Linked DNA regions of Lytechinus pictus. The protein of the gene in region 1 interacts with the protein of each later gene in a pairwise test. Links are inferred from orthologs where the notes say so. Each region holds a gene or a part of one and is shown in the gene's direction. Other genes may lie near its edges.

What was found.
Region 2: the proteins of splicing factor 3A subunit 1-like (region 1) and splicing factor 3A subunit 3-like interact in a two-hybrid assay, tested with the Caenorhabditis elegans proteins (2 studies listed by BioGRID). The link is inferred for Lytechinus pictus from reciprocal best matches to the Caenorhabditis elegans genes prp-21 and prp-9.

Annotation. Positions count from the first base shown.
Region 1 is NC_087250.1:20,509,247-20,516,852, forward strand, and holds the start of splicing factor 3A subunit 1-like, read left to right. Parts: upstream 1-4,428; 5' UTR 4,429-4,542; intron 4,543-7,606.
Region 2 is NC_087248.1:31,928,833-31,936,744, reverse strand, and holds the start of splicing factor 3A subunit 3-like, read left to right. Parts: upstream 1-4,640; coding exon 4,641-4,697; intron 4,698-4,999; coding exon 5,000-5,082; intron 5,083-5,458; coding exon 5,459-5,597; intron 5,598-6,047; coding exon 6,048-6,116; intron 6,117-7,203; coding exon 7,204-7,388; intron 7,389-7,912.

The DNA of each region.
Region 1 (7,606 bases):
CATATATCCCATGTGCCGCCAATGATTAGTCTGCAGGCACAGACCCTCATTGAAACCTTGATCAACAAGTGGGTTTCCACGCAAAGACTAACACATACAAAACTTGCTGTTGAGAGAGGGCCTTCAGTACACAAAAGGCATCAGTAGGCTGCACATTCAGACCCTTAACTCGAGTCAAGGGTTTGCACAGCAGACTAGCAAATGAATTAAATAGAGTAATTGAGATATTGAAAACTCACCTTCTTACTCCGATAGTCTACAAACAAAGCAATGTGAATTGCGTGAGGTATCCCTATCTATCAGCTAGCTGCATTCGACGAACTGCAGTTGTCTACGCATCCGATCCCTTTCGCATACTAAAAGGCAGGAAAGTGCATTACGCATTTATGTACCAGTGTAAAATCAAACGTTAATGCTGCACGTGATTAGAATTAAATCCATATGGATTAATACATCTCTCACTTGTATTAATCGTGGTTAGACGTCTGTCAACACTTTTAGTCTCGAAGATTATCTCTGCCTTTTTTCGTGGAAATTTCAGGATTGTGTAATCAGAGGAAGGCGAATGACCTGTACTTTTCATTTTTGTGCATATATAGACTATTTGTAAATAAAGGTTTATTCCACCCCAGTAAATGTTGATTTGAATCAAAAGAGAAAAATCAAACTAGCATAAATCTGAAAATTTCAAATCAGAATGTAAAATAAGAAAAATATGCAATTTTAAAGTTTTGCTTATTTTTTTTACAAAACATAACTCAGTATGTATGATATGCAAATGTAAGAGTCGATGATGCCTCTCACTCTTTCTTTTTTTTTTTTAGTTTGAAGTAAGGATTTTTATTTATTTTTACAATAATGACCAACTTGACTGAACCACAAAATAATTAAACAATGACAATTCCATATGGCATGTGTTCAGGAATACCTTGTTTGAATTTATTTTGGTTTTATTTCATTAATTTCTATATCCATTTTTTGTTTGAACATACAAATAACAAAAACATAAATACAAAATACAATTCCACTGGTGGATCCAGGGGGGGGGGGCACATCTGGTCCATGCCTTCCCCCTTGAGAGGCATAATAAACATTTACAATGTAAATTTGCCGTTCTAACACAAATGTGCCCCCCCCTTGAAAACGAGGACCATTTTTTTCTTGCTTGTCAAATTTTCCGTGGACGAAAATGACCTTAAATTTGGGTGAAAACATTTTTTAAAATTCATATTTCATACAATATAATACAAAATAAGTGGAGAGTAGGTGATGCCATCAGTCCCCCACAATAGGAGCACGGCGTAAATATAACTGTTTTTTAATTAAGTGATTGTAAAGCATTTCGTAACTTTCTTATTTCACATCCGATTTTGATGAACTTTGATGCTTGTGTCATTTTACACTTTTTATTCAACCCAACTGCCTCTTGGATTGGACTTGCCCTTTAGATATTCTAATTCGCTCTATTTTAAAAGGTGGCATGTAGACAAAACGTACTTAATGAATAGAAGCCTGCAATGATTGGGTGTAATTGCATGTGCGGTGGTTGATGAATTTCGATTGGAAGGGGGACAGAGTTTGCCAACCATATTTTTTTCCAATCGAAGAAATAAACAAATTATTAAAAAGAGAATGAAAATAGGGAAAGGATAAAAAAAATTGGGGCGAAAAAAAGAAAAGAAAATGGAATTTGTTTTGGCTTGGTCTTGTAAATATCTCTATATTAAAGGAGCCCCTTTAATAAAAGGGAAGTTTTGAAGAATTTAAGGGGCAAGCCCCCCCCCCCCATCCCGCCCTGTTTATAATAATGGCCCGATGCCAAGCTTCTCATTATCACGTGATTACGATGACCATGATAGTAACAAAGACAGGAAATTAACTAATTAAAATTATAATTAGCAATTAAGTTTGCGGTAGAAAACTTGAGCCATTTCGATTTTGAAATAAATCACAATTGAGAGAGATAGCCGGTTTTAAACACCTCTATCTTGCACTTTTTAAAGTCTATTTTTAAGCCCCCCCCCCTACCGATCCGACATTGGGTCTGCAATATATTCGTTTTAAATAAAATGTTTTTTTTAAGATACACTATTTCAAATGTTTCATATATTTCGTATATTAAGGGAAATTGTGAACGCCCCCCATAAAAAGGGGCGGATGAAGTAAGCGGGTGTTTATGGGAGATTTACCCCTCCCCCGAAAAAAAAACTCCGCAATGATTAAAATTGTATCAAATTATATAAGATGAGAATCATAAATGCATAAAAGTGTGGAATTTTGGTTCATCGCACAATTCAGGTGATTGTATCAATATTATATAAACATTTAATGTTATTGATGAACACGCTACAATTAAGATGGTGAGAAAAAAATATCTTAGCATGCTCCTGATTCTCAGGGGAGCGTCTGATGAAATGACCTGTCAGACGTTTAATCCGACAGTTACCATGGTAGCAGTGCTTCACAGCCAATCAAAATCAAGGAACTTTGTCAGATCTGACAACGCGTTAAAGCAAAATATTTATGAAATTATCCCCATTCATCATAAATTTCCAAATGCAACACGATTTAGTGGAATAATTAAGAGTAAAGTGTTGGAAGAATAATGGGAAATAATAATAATCGTGAGATTTCCGTTATACATTGAACGTACTTAAGACAACATGATTATACCAGGGGCGAATCCAGGAATTTCCAGGGGGGGCATTGTATACAGAAAAAAACTAAGCCTCAAGAAAGCTAGGCTTCACTCCAAATTAATGGTGATGATGAATGAAATATTTGACAAGCAAACAAAATAAATAAATAAAGGGGGGGGGGGGTCCTCACTTGCGTATGCACAACATATCCCCTTACAAAGATTTGTTATGGCTCTCAAGGGGGGGGGGGGCGTTGTGCCCCTTCCTGTAACCGCCATGGACTCGTACATTCACAAGTACGACACCAACTAGAAACCAATCGATAGTAGGTCATTGGTAATAGCGTTTTACATTTGGTTAATTTGGAGTTGATTTTGCCTCGATCTATGTCAGGGGCCGCGGAACGGTTTTCAAAGTGGGGGGGGGGGGGGGGCTGAGCCAAAAGTGGGGGGCTGACCATGCTAAAAATCACAATCATATGGTAATTTTTACGTTTTTGTACACGGTTTTGAAAAAAAGTGGGGGGCTGAAGCCCCCCCCCCCCAGCCCCCCCGGTTCCGCGGCCCCTGTATGTGACTGTGAAAAAAGGGTGATCGACGCACTTTTTTGGGTTCAAGGGCTGTTGAAAATATAACCTCTGTTGTGCGATTATCCTTATAATTAATTCATTCTCATCAAGTAAATTCATTGTGCGAACTGGTAGATTTACAGCAAGGTTCTGCCGTGGATATACTTTATACATGGAAAATGTTGATTATATGGGGCGTCGATACGGGGGGGGGGGGGGGCGGAGTCAGTGCTGGGTAGTGGGTACCCCCTGAGAAAAGTGATATGTGAAAAGTGAATGTGTTCTCTTTCTTCCCCCTGTGCACCATAGTAATGACACCAAAACCCAGCTCCACACATTTATTTTATATTTCATTCGCAACCTTCACACAACCCGCCAAAAACTCCTCAGCAACTTCACCAGCTCTAACAACTCTTAGGAAGTGTTTACATTTTTCAACTGTTACCAGCGATCTCCGACCTTAAAGGGGAAGTTCACCCTGACAAAAAGTTTATTGTAAAAATAGCAGAACAAATAGTAAAAAATATTGCCGAAGGTTTGAGAAAAATTCATCAAATAATTAAAAAGTTATTAGAATTTCAATTATTTGATTTGTGACGTCATATGCGAGCAGCATTCCTACATAGCGAATGGTAAAAAATCAATGAAATGTCATTTTCTCAGAAAATTGAAAATGGTTTTCACTGTACCTTTTGTATATCAATAGACAAATCATTTCACACCCGATCATGAATAGAAAACAAAATTAAGTCATCAGGAACCATGCAAAATTTGAAATTCATGCATTTTATATTACATAACACATGGGGCAGCTGCTCGTTTATGACGTCACAAATCCAAAACTTTGAACTCTAATAACTTTCTTACTCTTTAACGCATTTTCCTCAAACCTTCACCAATAATTTTTATTATTTTTTCTGCTATTTTTACAACAAAGTTTTTTTCAGGGTGAACGGAGGAAGGATACAAGAGAGATAGTGCACAAAGTTGAAATAATGAATTAAGAAAAAAAAGGGGGAAAAAATAAGAAGTCTAGGTCATGGAACTATCAACTCTCAATCAAGAGGAAAAATGACGAAAGGAGCTGCGGACAAGGGGGGGGGGGGGCGGCGAACAATTTTTTTTGATATTGTGTTTTTTATGCAGTTTCAGCAGCAACTCCAGTCTCACAAAATTCGAAATAATTTATGTAAAATTATAAAAATCCTCTGTCGAATATTCCTGTTTGGACTATAGAGGGCTAGGGCTTTATACAAAACGAGAATTGCACGCACAACGATTCTGTTGGAAATAAGTGAACACTCTTTACTTGTTTTTCACTTGTGTAGACCTTCCGTAAGTATTCATTGCTTGATTATATTAGAAGAAAATACTTGTGAACGTTCTTCGAATTAATTCAATGTGAGAGAGAGTTTTAAGAGTGCTTGACTGCTTTTGTGTACGGCTGTACCCTTTGGCTTTGCTTTTAATGATAATATCCCGCCTGCGCAGTGTTCCTTTCGACCGGCTTCGGTCCGACGTGTTGAAATTTATGTCATGTGAAATTAACTATATAATCTAGGAGTTAGGACAAGAGTCCGACTCAAGGCAGCTAATCAATGCTATTGTTCGATGTTATTATGGATTTATCCTTGTTGCCTTGCCCTTTATTGTGATGCAGTTAAAGTAATCAGTGTCTGAAGCCAAACTGGAAAATTTCTGTCATTAAAAACGGGCTGATTTACTCAGAAAAAAAATGGCACTCTTTTTTTTTTTACGGGAAGTTTTTTCATTTTAATTTCAGCCCAAGTCGAGGTTAGCACAGCCAGGACTCAGGCTCCTGAATATTTTGCCAAGTTGTTATATATCACTTCATTTGCAAGTCTTTACATCAAAGTAATACAAAGTCAATTATAATATAGGCCTACATTTTTTAGTTTAATGGGAAATGCAGGGCAATAAAATTCACTATACAGAAGAAAAAAAGTCATAAAGTTGCTCCAAAATATATGTTTTCTTTTGGGTTTTGAGCCCAATTTTAAACAGGTAGGACAACGGAAAAAAACGAAACACCATTACTACTAAAAAACTTTACCTTAATATATTCTTTATTAGCATGATTGTCAAAGACATTGCTCAAAGCTTACGTCAAAATTTCCTAAATAGTGAAAAATAAGGCTTAAATACTCCATAAAATGCGCCTGGAAATGCATGTAAGTTAGCATTTGGCCCATCCCCTTAGGCTATACTGTGTGGGTTAGTGGCTGAAAATAAGCATTTTAAAGTCTTTATGCTGACCTGGCTCTGTTTGAGCCTCTGGGGAGCTGTGGAAACATGTCACATTGATAGATAATCAACTTGGCTGCCAGAAAATATGAAGATGTCGCTACATGTAACTACATTGTTCACTCAAAATATAGAATGAAAATTTGAGGCCAATTCACCTATTGATATTTCGGACACATGTCTACAGCACCAATCAGGGGCCCATTTCATAAAGGACTTGCAACTGTTGTAACTTTGCCATAATGGCAACTACAATGGTAACAGGGCTCAGCAGCCAATCATAATCAAGGTTACCACGGTAATTGCCATAATGGCAAAGTTGCACCAGTTGCAAGTCCTTTATGAAACGGGCCCCTGGTGCCATTGTCTACCCTTTAATTTATAGTCTAAAATAAATGGGCTACAATACCATTTGGACCCTGTTGGCACTAAAGAGTCATATTTTTAAATAATATTAAACATAAAAAACTTGAAAATGTTAAAAGTAGAGGAGCGTTTACCTGTACTAACAGTCTGTTATTGTCGCCACCTTGCCTAGCCGTCTTTGTTATCGTAGCCTAACTACATGATGCGTATAGACAGTGACAATATCATGACATGAGCAGTGCTAACTTAGATAAAAAAGATACTTGCATCGGCCGATAAATATCATGAATACTACCTTAAATGTTAAAGATCCAGACCGGACCCGAAAATGAAATTGATAAATTATATACCAATCGAAAGCTTATAAGCTACTAAATACACCAAGGTATGCTTTATGCATTTTCACCGCTTCCCAGCTGAGTATTTTGCTTAAGAATATTCCAATTATCGGGTTTCGAACCCCGCTTAGAAAATAGGCTTTATTGTGCTTTTCACCTGCCTCGAGACCGTGACGTCACGTTGTGTAAGAAGCGTCGTGATTCCATAGGTTTGTACACAGAAAAACTGGGTGATTTTTTTGCTTTCCAGATAACGCATTTCATTCTCTTCACTTCTATCACAGAGGGATATCACATATATTTTTACCCACAAGCTTGAATTTATGAAATCTGCAGTTTTGAACTAGTTTTTGCCATATTTTATTTCCTGCTTATTTGGCGCAGATTTCAATTCTATCTGCATTTAGATTATGTATAACAACTTTTCCTGACAATTTAGGCCCAATAAGAGCCAAACAAAGAAATCACAAAAAAGGTAGTGAATAGTTGTAGGTTTACAACAATTTGAACAGTGAATAATTTTGAGTGCCATTTTCATCTGAAAACGAAAAAAAAAATGGATTCATAACATGGAAATGGAAGAAAATACCCAATGCTTTTGTACACAAACCTATGGAATCACAACCCTCCTGACACAACGTGACGTCATCATTTCCAGGCGACGTGGGGGTGCTCAATCGAAGCGTACTTTGGAGGAGCAGTTTCTTTGATTTTTATTTAATATTTTTAACTATTGGAAGGAGATATATGTAATATTTTGGGTATATTCGTATTGTATGAATCATATCCCAATCAACTTTTGAGTCTTACCTGAAGACTTTTCTGTTCCCCACTCCAACATTATTGCAAGAATAACTCAATTGTAGCATTACTAGGACAGTACTTGAACTGAATGATGATCCTAAGCACTGTTTGAAGACATTGAAATTTGTGAGATATTTCCTATTTTTGAGCAAGCGCCATGAGCGCCCAGCTGAGGCGGATACCGGCGCTATACAAGAACCCATCATCACCCATCATCATTACCTTTATTTTGATATATGATTGTTTTTACACCGGTCAGGGTCTTTAAGGGAAGATTCATGATATTTATTGGCCGATGCAAGTATTTATGTGCTCGCCTTTGAGACACTCTTGTTCACTGTTGCTTGAGGCACCCTACTTAAAAAAAAACATACCATCAGAAAGAGCATCAAATTTCCTATAAGACACTTTATGGACAATTTTTTTTAATCAAGATGAATTTGTAGACCTACAGTGTAACAGCTCTCGGAAGCTCAAAATATAGATTTGTTTGTGTCTCATCTTTTAGATACAGTCTTGTTTTTTGCCGCCATGTACTATTTTTTTTTCATAAAATGTTACATTCCTGTCACTCTGAAGGTTATTTCTCTTCAAATCCACCAAGAAATATGATATATATTTTTTTC
Region 2 (7,912 bases), on another chromosome or scaffold:
CTCTCTCATCTTCAGAATTAGAGTTACCATTGGAATCTACATTCCTAACATGACCTTGAGTACTATCATCACCGTTAACTACTTTTTTCCAATCTGGATGGGGATTACTCATGGAATGGACACCTTCAATGTCCCCTATTATAACGTCAAAAACTGGTGTCTCTATACACAGTGCTTCTATTGTACCTACAAACAAAGGGGAGCTAATATGAACATTAGCAGTAGGAAACCTACAGAGAGTGATCTATCAAAACACATTGTCTATATTTACCAGTAAGTTGATCTGACCTCACAAGACTTTTCTTAACCGCAACACCGGAACATCCTGAATCATAAAGGACATCAACCTTGTGTGATCCAAACCTACCTTCAACAACAGTTAACTTACCATGCCAACGACGCTGACATGCAGCACACATCATCAGTGATTTTTGTAAGGTATCTCTAGTAACTATCTCTGACTTATCTTTCTCACTAACTAAAGACATTAACAAAAGTCCAAGTGTCTCACTTCCTTCCATATCTGGACTAACAAGCGAACAAGTTGCACAAGAATCTGACCTACTATCAACTGCCACTTTACTATTTGTTTCATACTGAGTTGATTCTCTTTTCTGATTTTGGCTACTACTTTTTGAATGATCAGTACTACAAATTAGACTTGCACCTTGTAATTTGGAGTTACATTTAGCTGCTAAATGCCCCATCTTGTTACAGATGAAACATGGACCAATTCTTTTCCGTTCAGGAGGCGGATTTCTTAAAATCCCCGGACTTGTCTTAACTTCACTTGGGACCTTTCGCAATCCTCACGGACGCTAATATTAGGGTCCCCTAACACAAAAGTTAACGCTTAATAATACACTTGATTTTTAAGATTGATTGTGCATTATAGTCAATAGAATCAAACGTAGAAAACTGCTCTACAATCAATGCCAAGCTTTGTGTTACAGGGGGGTTACAGGCCCTACAGATCTGCTTTTCGTGTGCAAAATCCTTTTCCGCGACACCCGCACCATACATGTACATGCATGTATATTACGACTAATGGCTGGAGATATTCGAAATGCAGACCTAAAATAGATTATGACATGGATAAGAAAATGGTTTTTCAAACAAATCGAGTACATATTGAGTGAGGAAAAACTTACTGAATGAAGGCTTAGATATAGATCATTACAGTCCATCGAATCGATATTAGATTTAATGTGGATTATTGGTGTATCACTGGCAATTGATTTCATGGGTCAGATCAACCTCTCCAGTCTCCAGCCGAACATTTCGCGTGAGTTGATATGTGCACACCATATGCAATACGTTTGAACTCGATCGTTTCTTTTTGTTTCTTTTGTTTCTTTTGTTTACTCCTTCTACACAAACGATATGCCTCTCGCACACGATGTAATGGGCATTATGTTTTACTTCCCCCAGAAATGGGGGATTAGATTCAAATTCCGGGGGGACCACTTCCATTGATGAGTGGATACCAGGCACGACCATGGGGTTTCGAAAAGTACCCTAAACAAGCTGGGAAGTAATTCTTTTCCAGATTATGAAAATGCATCTCTGAACAAGAATTTGGCTTGTGAAACCCTACAAGTATTGGGTATATATCCCTTTTTTGTCAGCATTTTAAACATCGTTTTGACACCCTTATAACGTTACATAGGCCTATACGTAACGTACCTGCCCACTCTGTCCCCTTTTACGCGTGGTCGCTCCTGGTATCCACTAATCAATGGGAGTGGGCCCCCGGGCGGCCTCTCGAGCTCTAGGAGGAGTCAAATGTGGCTTTGGAAAGTCGTCCTCAATCGGATATATCGCTGTTACCATAGTAGCAACCAAAATTTTGCACACGAAACGCATATTGAATGTTTCCGTCGCAGATGCGAAACGAAAAAAAAATCTCATGTCACACAATTTGCATTGTAGTACAGAGTTTTACACCCATGATGACGGGCCCAAAAAGTCTCTTCCAAAATCAACTAACGTCGTAAATAAGCGTGCGCGTCCTCAAACGAAAGGTCGGGACTGTCTGACTGAGGGTACCTACTACCTTGTGGCTTACCCTTCTTATCATTCTTATCTTTTCTGGTAATTCCAAAGTGACCACTATGGGCCTCTACATACGTGTCTGCTAGACTAGTCATCTCTGAAATATTCTTAGGTTTCCTTTCCTTCAGAAAAAGACCTAGAGAGGTTCCACCTCTCTCAACCAGTTGTTGTTTGAGTAACATTTCTACTACACCATCGAATGTACGTTGCGTACCTGACAGATCAATCCAACGACTCAAATAATGTTCTAACCGAACAACAAATTGACTTGGGGTCTCCCCGGACTGTGGATTGGAATACCTGAACTTTTGACGAAAATCGTCACAAGTAAGTTCAAACCTTAACAACAATGCTTCCTTGAGGGCATCATAATCTTCAGCTTTATCTGCTGGAAGTCTTGAATACACATCGAGTGCCTTACCTTGCAAGAGTGCACTTAAACTAATGGCCCAACTACTTCTTGGCCATGACTGAACCTCCGCATACTTCTCAAACCTTTTGAGATATGCGTCCATATTATCTTTTCCTTCAACAAAATGAGGGAGTTTAGGGGTTGGTGCCAAAGTGCGACCGTTTCCATTACCATTATCAATCATACTATCAGACCTACTCTGGCTCTGAACACGAGCCAATTCAAGTTTCATCTCCAGAATTTTTTCTTCCTCTTTCCTAACTTCTCTATTAGCCCTACGTTCCTCTCGCTCTAATTGTTCCCTTTCTCCTACAAATGAAAGAAGCTCAGGCCCTGACAGACCTAATTCCTTACCAATCTCAAACCACTTAGTACTCATGTTTAAATGTTCAAACTACCCCTACCTAAGTCAAAGAACTATTGAGTAACTATATACTATATCAACTATTTCTTATAGGGGTGTTTGATAACTTGTGTGGCACAATTTTCATACATATTCAATTTTGCAACTCACCGACAATCCAAAATAAACCTTTACTCGCACTTGACCTTGCTGCGCATGCTCGTCGCTAGCAGGAGTGTTGGTGCACTGGATGGTCCTTGGCCCACTGACACAAAGAACTTGAAGGATTTCGGCTAAATTCTGAAAATTGAACAGAAATTTGTTCATAAGTACGTATCACAAATTTTGCGAGGGGTCATGTCATCGACCAATTAAATCTTATGTCTGTTGACCAATAAAGACAAACAGAAAATCCTAGACAATCAAATCCTATACCAATTAATTCAACCAACAGGGTATGTTATGGCCCAAACAACTCGGACAAGCCCCCAAATTGTCACATTGTGTTTGATGTGAACTTGACTTATTATTCTAATCAGGCTGTTTGACCACCCAAGAATTAAACTATAAGATGAAATTGTACATTTCGATCAAAATGAATTTATTATATATATCAATATTGCCATTATCGAGGCTCACAAGCTGTCAAAACATAAAGATCAAGAAAACAGTATCAACAACGTTTTGGAACAATCTGTCTCAATTCAAATTAGTATAATCTAGACAAATTAAGTTAGTATTGTGACCTGCAATTCCTATTCAAGGAAAGAGCATAAACTCTGTGTTTATGAAAACAATCTATATAGTATACGTATACCGACTGTGGGGAAAGTTCAGTTTCTCAAGTCTTCACTCATCACCCGTTGTCAGACGTCAAATGCATCAATGTCCAAATTGATCATGCGATGCTGAAGAAATGTGCCGAACGGAAGACGATATGGGGATGAACTCGCGAATGCGATGAACTAACCAAGAACTCGGGACTTTCCGTAGAGAACGTAGCAATCGTAGAACGTCGTAAGACGTCGAAGAGGCCGTGAACGTCACAAGACGTAGGACGTAGCTAAACATTGCCAAACGAGGAGAACCATGGCAATACATGGAAACGTGGAGACACGTGGTAAAACGTCAAGAGACGTGGATAAATCATCGAGAAAACGGCCGTCTGGAAGAGAATACGCAAGGATTAACAGCCTACAGTTCATATCATTTCTGTTATTCAAATGGTTTATAATAGAATAAATGCTGAGTACATTCAAGCAGGTCAATGAACTTTCTATACTTGCTTCCGAGTACCTAATAGCAGTGTCCTTACTCATATAAAAGTCACCACTCTCGTAGTTAACAAGTGTTTAAACAGAAGCTTCGACATTTGTATAAATAGACTAATTGTCTTGATAAAGGACAAAATACCTTTCAAGTTTTAAATATTAGATAATTAGGTCACTTCCTAAAACAATCATTTCATGACATGTGTTAGACATATAAATATAATATCTGATATCTTACATGTAGATGTATGTCTCATATCTTAGTCTTCAAATAGCATAATTATCCTTCATCATGTTTAATTGTAATACAAATCAACATCACGGGTTCTAAATATAATCATAGCTTTTCATAATAATATGGTAAAATAAAACATCAACTTACAGTCTGGACCTTGAATTCCAACCAGTGTACCAACCACTGCTGGCTTACATGCCACTCCAAATATCAAAGGCGTGGCACCAAAGTGCTGGCTTTCCCAGCCAAGGAGCTGCTGAAAGATGCTGCTGCACCCTATGCTTGCTTATCTGCAGTCTGCTGAACATTTGCTTGCATAGCCCTATGCAGTGCACACACACAATAGCTATCAAACACAGTGAGGGGTTGCCTACTCTAGCAGTTAGGTTTGGTCTATTCATAAACAAATTAGGGAGTTACTCAACCAAATAGGCTCTTCCACTGGCTAGTAAAGGGGAGTTTGAATAAGCTTCTGACAGGTTCATGTTGATGAATTCCCTTTTTTGTGGGAAATTCAACCTTTGCTGGAATTTGCTTATATTTAGCCATCATGATTACTTTTTTTTTTGGTAGCACAAAGTTGGCAACTCTGTAAATAAACATATCAATTCAAATCCAATCCCAAATATTATGTGAAATGTAATTTCATATTGAACTGTTTTCTCTTTCTTTCAATCCTATAGAAAGTCGACTATGTGACCTACCTTTCCATTGCTGATCGGCTCTTTGAAATATCAAAGGATAAGAAGAATGCGGAATATAGACGGTAAGTCTATTCCTGTTGTGGTAACAATCATTCAATGAATTCTAGAGAATCCAACTAAATGAAGAAGAAATACATTTTTTTCTCATTCATCCATGCTCTCTTACTCATTATCCTTCTGTCTCTCCCTTTCTTTTTCTTTCTCTCCCTTTCTTTTTCTTTCTCTATCCTATGGTAAAAAACCCAGCTTGATTTAGGTAATGATTCTCCATTGTCCATGTGATCATTATCAATATCCAGGGATTCCTGCCAGTTTCCACCCCTCCCCTCCCCCCTCTCTCTCTTTCTCTTATTTATCTGTATTATGATATAAGAAGGCCCATATTTCCATGCTGATTACCAACATTCTAACTATATCTTTCTTTATGTCCTATCCTAGGTATCTGGACCTAATACTAAGTTATCTGCAGGACTATGCGTCAAGGGTCAAACCAATCTTGGACTTTGCAGAGGAACTAGATAAGGTCAAGAAAGAGTTTGATATTCAGTGGGAAGCAGGTACTTTCCCTGGCTGGCCGGTGAGTCATCTCATGTGCTGTGGTGTTTTAGAAAGAGTTGGGTGTGGTTGAAAGTCATTTCAATATCCTCTTGGTTGTCGTATACAACCAAGTTCATAGGAAACATAATTTTCCAGTCCTCCCTCAAAGAAGTGGAGTACAAGAAATGCAGTGAAAATCTTGAGTACCAGTATGAAAGCAATATCCACTATGATACAAGACAGGAAGATCTGCTAATCATACATGTTTGCAGTGTTTAGTGTGTGTTTTTCATGCTTTATCTTCATTCAGCTTTGCCTGTAAAATGGAAACTGACTTTTTTTCTGAGATTTTTACCATTGCTTTATCATACATTTTATATGTCTCACCAAACAACAAGAAATCTATGTATTAGAAAATTGGGGCCTGTATTATAGATGTCCTTGAAGTCCAAATTAGTCTTGTGTGTTTATTTTCATTTGTTATATGCAGAAAGAAGCAGCGAGTGCTATGACCCATGCTGGTGCTCATCTTGACCTGTCTGCCTTCTCATCATCAGAGGTAATCTACACCTAGATTGGCTTCCTCTCAGATAGTCTACATGGGCTGAACATAACTTTATCTTACTACCTAATAACAGTTTGGTTCAACCATCATTTGGCTTACTTCCTAGATAGTCTATTACAACATAGGCTAAACCCATTATATCTACTACCAATTTAACTGCCATTTGGTCTACACTGCACTTGATCCAATACCTATTTCATCTAATCCTCATTTAGTCCATTTCTGGTGGGTTTATAAATTTCCACTTATTCTACTTATATTTTACTTTTTTCAAACTGAAAATTTGGTTCATAGACTGGTCATCTAACCCTATATAGGCTAAGTGTTATTAGACTAAGTGGATAAAGAACAAAGTGGATATAGCCTAACTGAAAATAAGACAATGCAGTAATTGGGCTTGCATTGTAATTAGCCAAATTTATTAGTACTTGAACTAGTTGAAGACAAAGCTGGTCTAGACAAATTGGTGATTTACTGTGAGTTTTCTAAGGAAAGGGGAAATCCCTGGGGTAAGTCTTTTAAATGAAAGGAGAGAGTAAAGGGAAGCATTTTTTCCCTGAAAATTTCCTTTAGAATCGGTGACAAAATGAAAAACCTGTGAAATTTGAAGACTCGATTTACTTCCTCTGGCAATCCTCAAAATGGCAAAGTTGGAAATGGCCTGTTGCCAGAGCAACGGCTCTTTCACCCAAGAAAAGTTGCTTTATAATGACAGTACAAATCTCAATATGTTTTGTACTCAAATTTTATAGTTTCTCCTGTTCTCCTTTACTGTATATCTAAAGATTCTGCTTGTACTTTTGGTGAACTCAACTTATATTGTGTCAAATACATTTACCCATGACATAAGTGGTGCTAAAAAGGAGACCAACTACACCTTAATTAAGGGAAATTTTGTGAAGGAAAATATGGAAAGTTGTACTACTAAACCTGTTACTTTAAAGCAATATTGCCTAGCTGAGGATCACCATAGAAAGCATATTGAGTACAAAATATGTGGAGAGTTGTACTATTTAACCTGTCACGTGATGGGATAAGCAAATTTGAGACTTACATTGAACTTTTACTCTTTCACGTACAGGAGTTGGCCTCGCTTGGTCTTGATCGTCTGAAGTCAGCCCTGATGGCGCTTGGGCTGAAATGTGGTGGGACCCTGGAACAACGAGCCCAGCGTCTCTTCACTACCAAGGGGGTCCAGCTTAATGAACTAGACCAGGCCTTGTTTGCTAAGAGTAAACCAGGCAAAGGAACTAAAGCTGGCAAGAAGTAAGTGTCCATTGATAACCTATGTAGCTTGCCTACTGCTACTTATTACCCAAATATAGAAATCATAACTAATAAAGAGCATTATAAACCTCTCTTTAAGAATGTCAAATAATCTTTTCCTCTTTTCTTTAAGAATGTCAAATAATCTTTTCCTCTGATTGGTCAAAAGTGGGGTCATATATTTGACCATGCCTGCAAAACAACAGACAAATGTGGTTACCAAGGGCAACGAGCATAGTTAACAAGATTTGTGCCTGTTGCCCCCTGATTGCCCCCATTAGCATTGGGCATAAATCAAATTTTGCTGAGAACACCAGTTAATTGCGTGCGAGAAATTGCTTTCTGTGGTGATTGCAGATGTCATAATATCAGCACGATTTAGATGATAATTTTAGACAACTTGTACATTTACGCACTAGTTGGCGCTCATGTGTGTAGCAGAGGTGGAACGATACGGATACTTGAATTCTGCTGGTTATTTAGCCAGGATTATTTCATTAAAAAACCTGAAATCAGATTCAGAA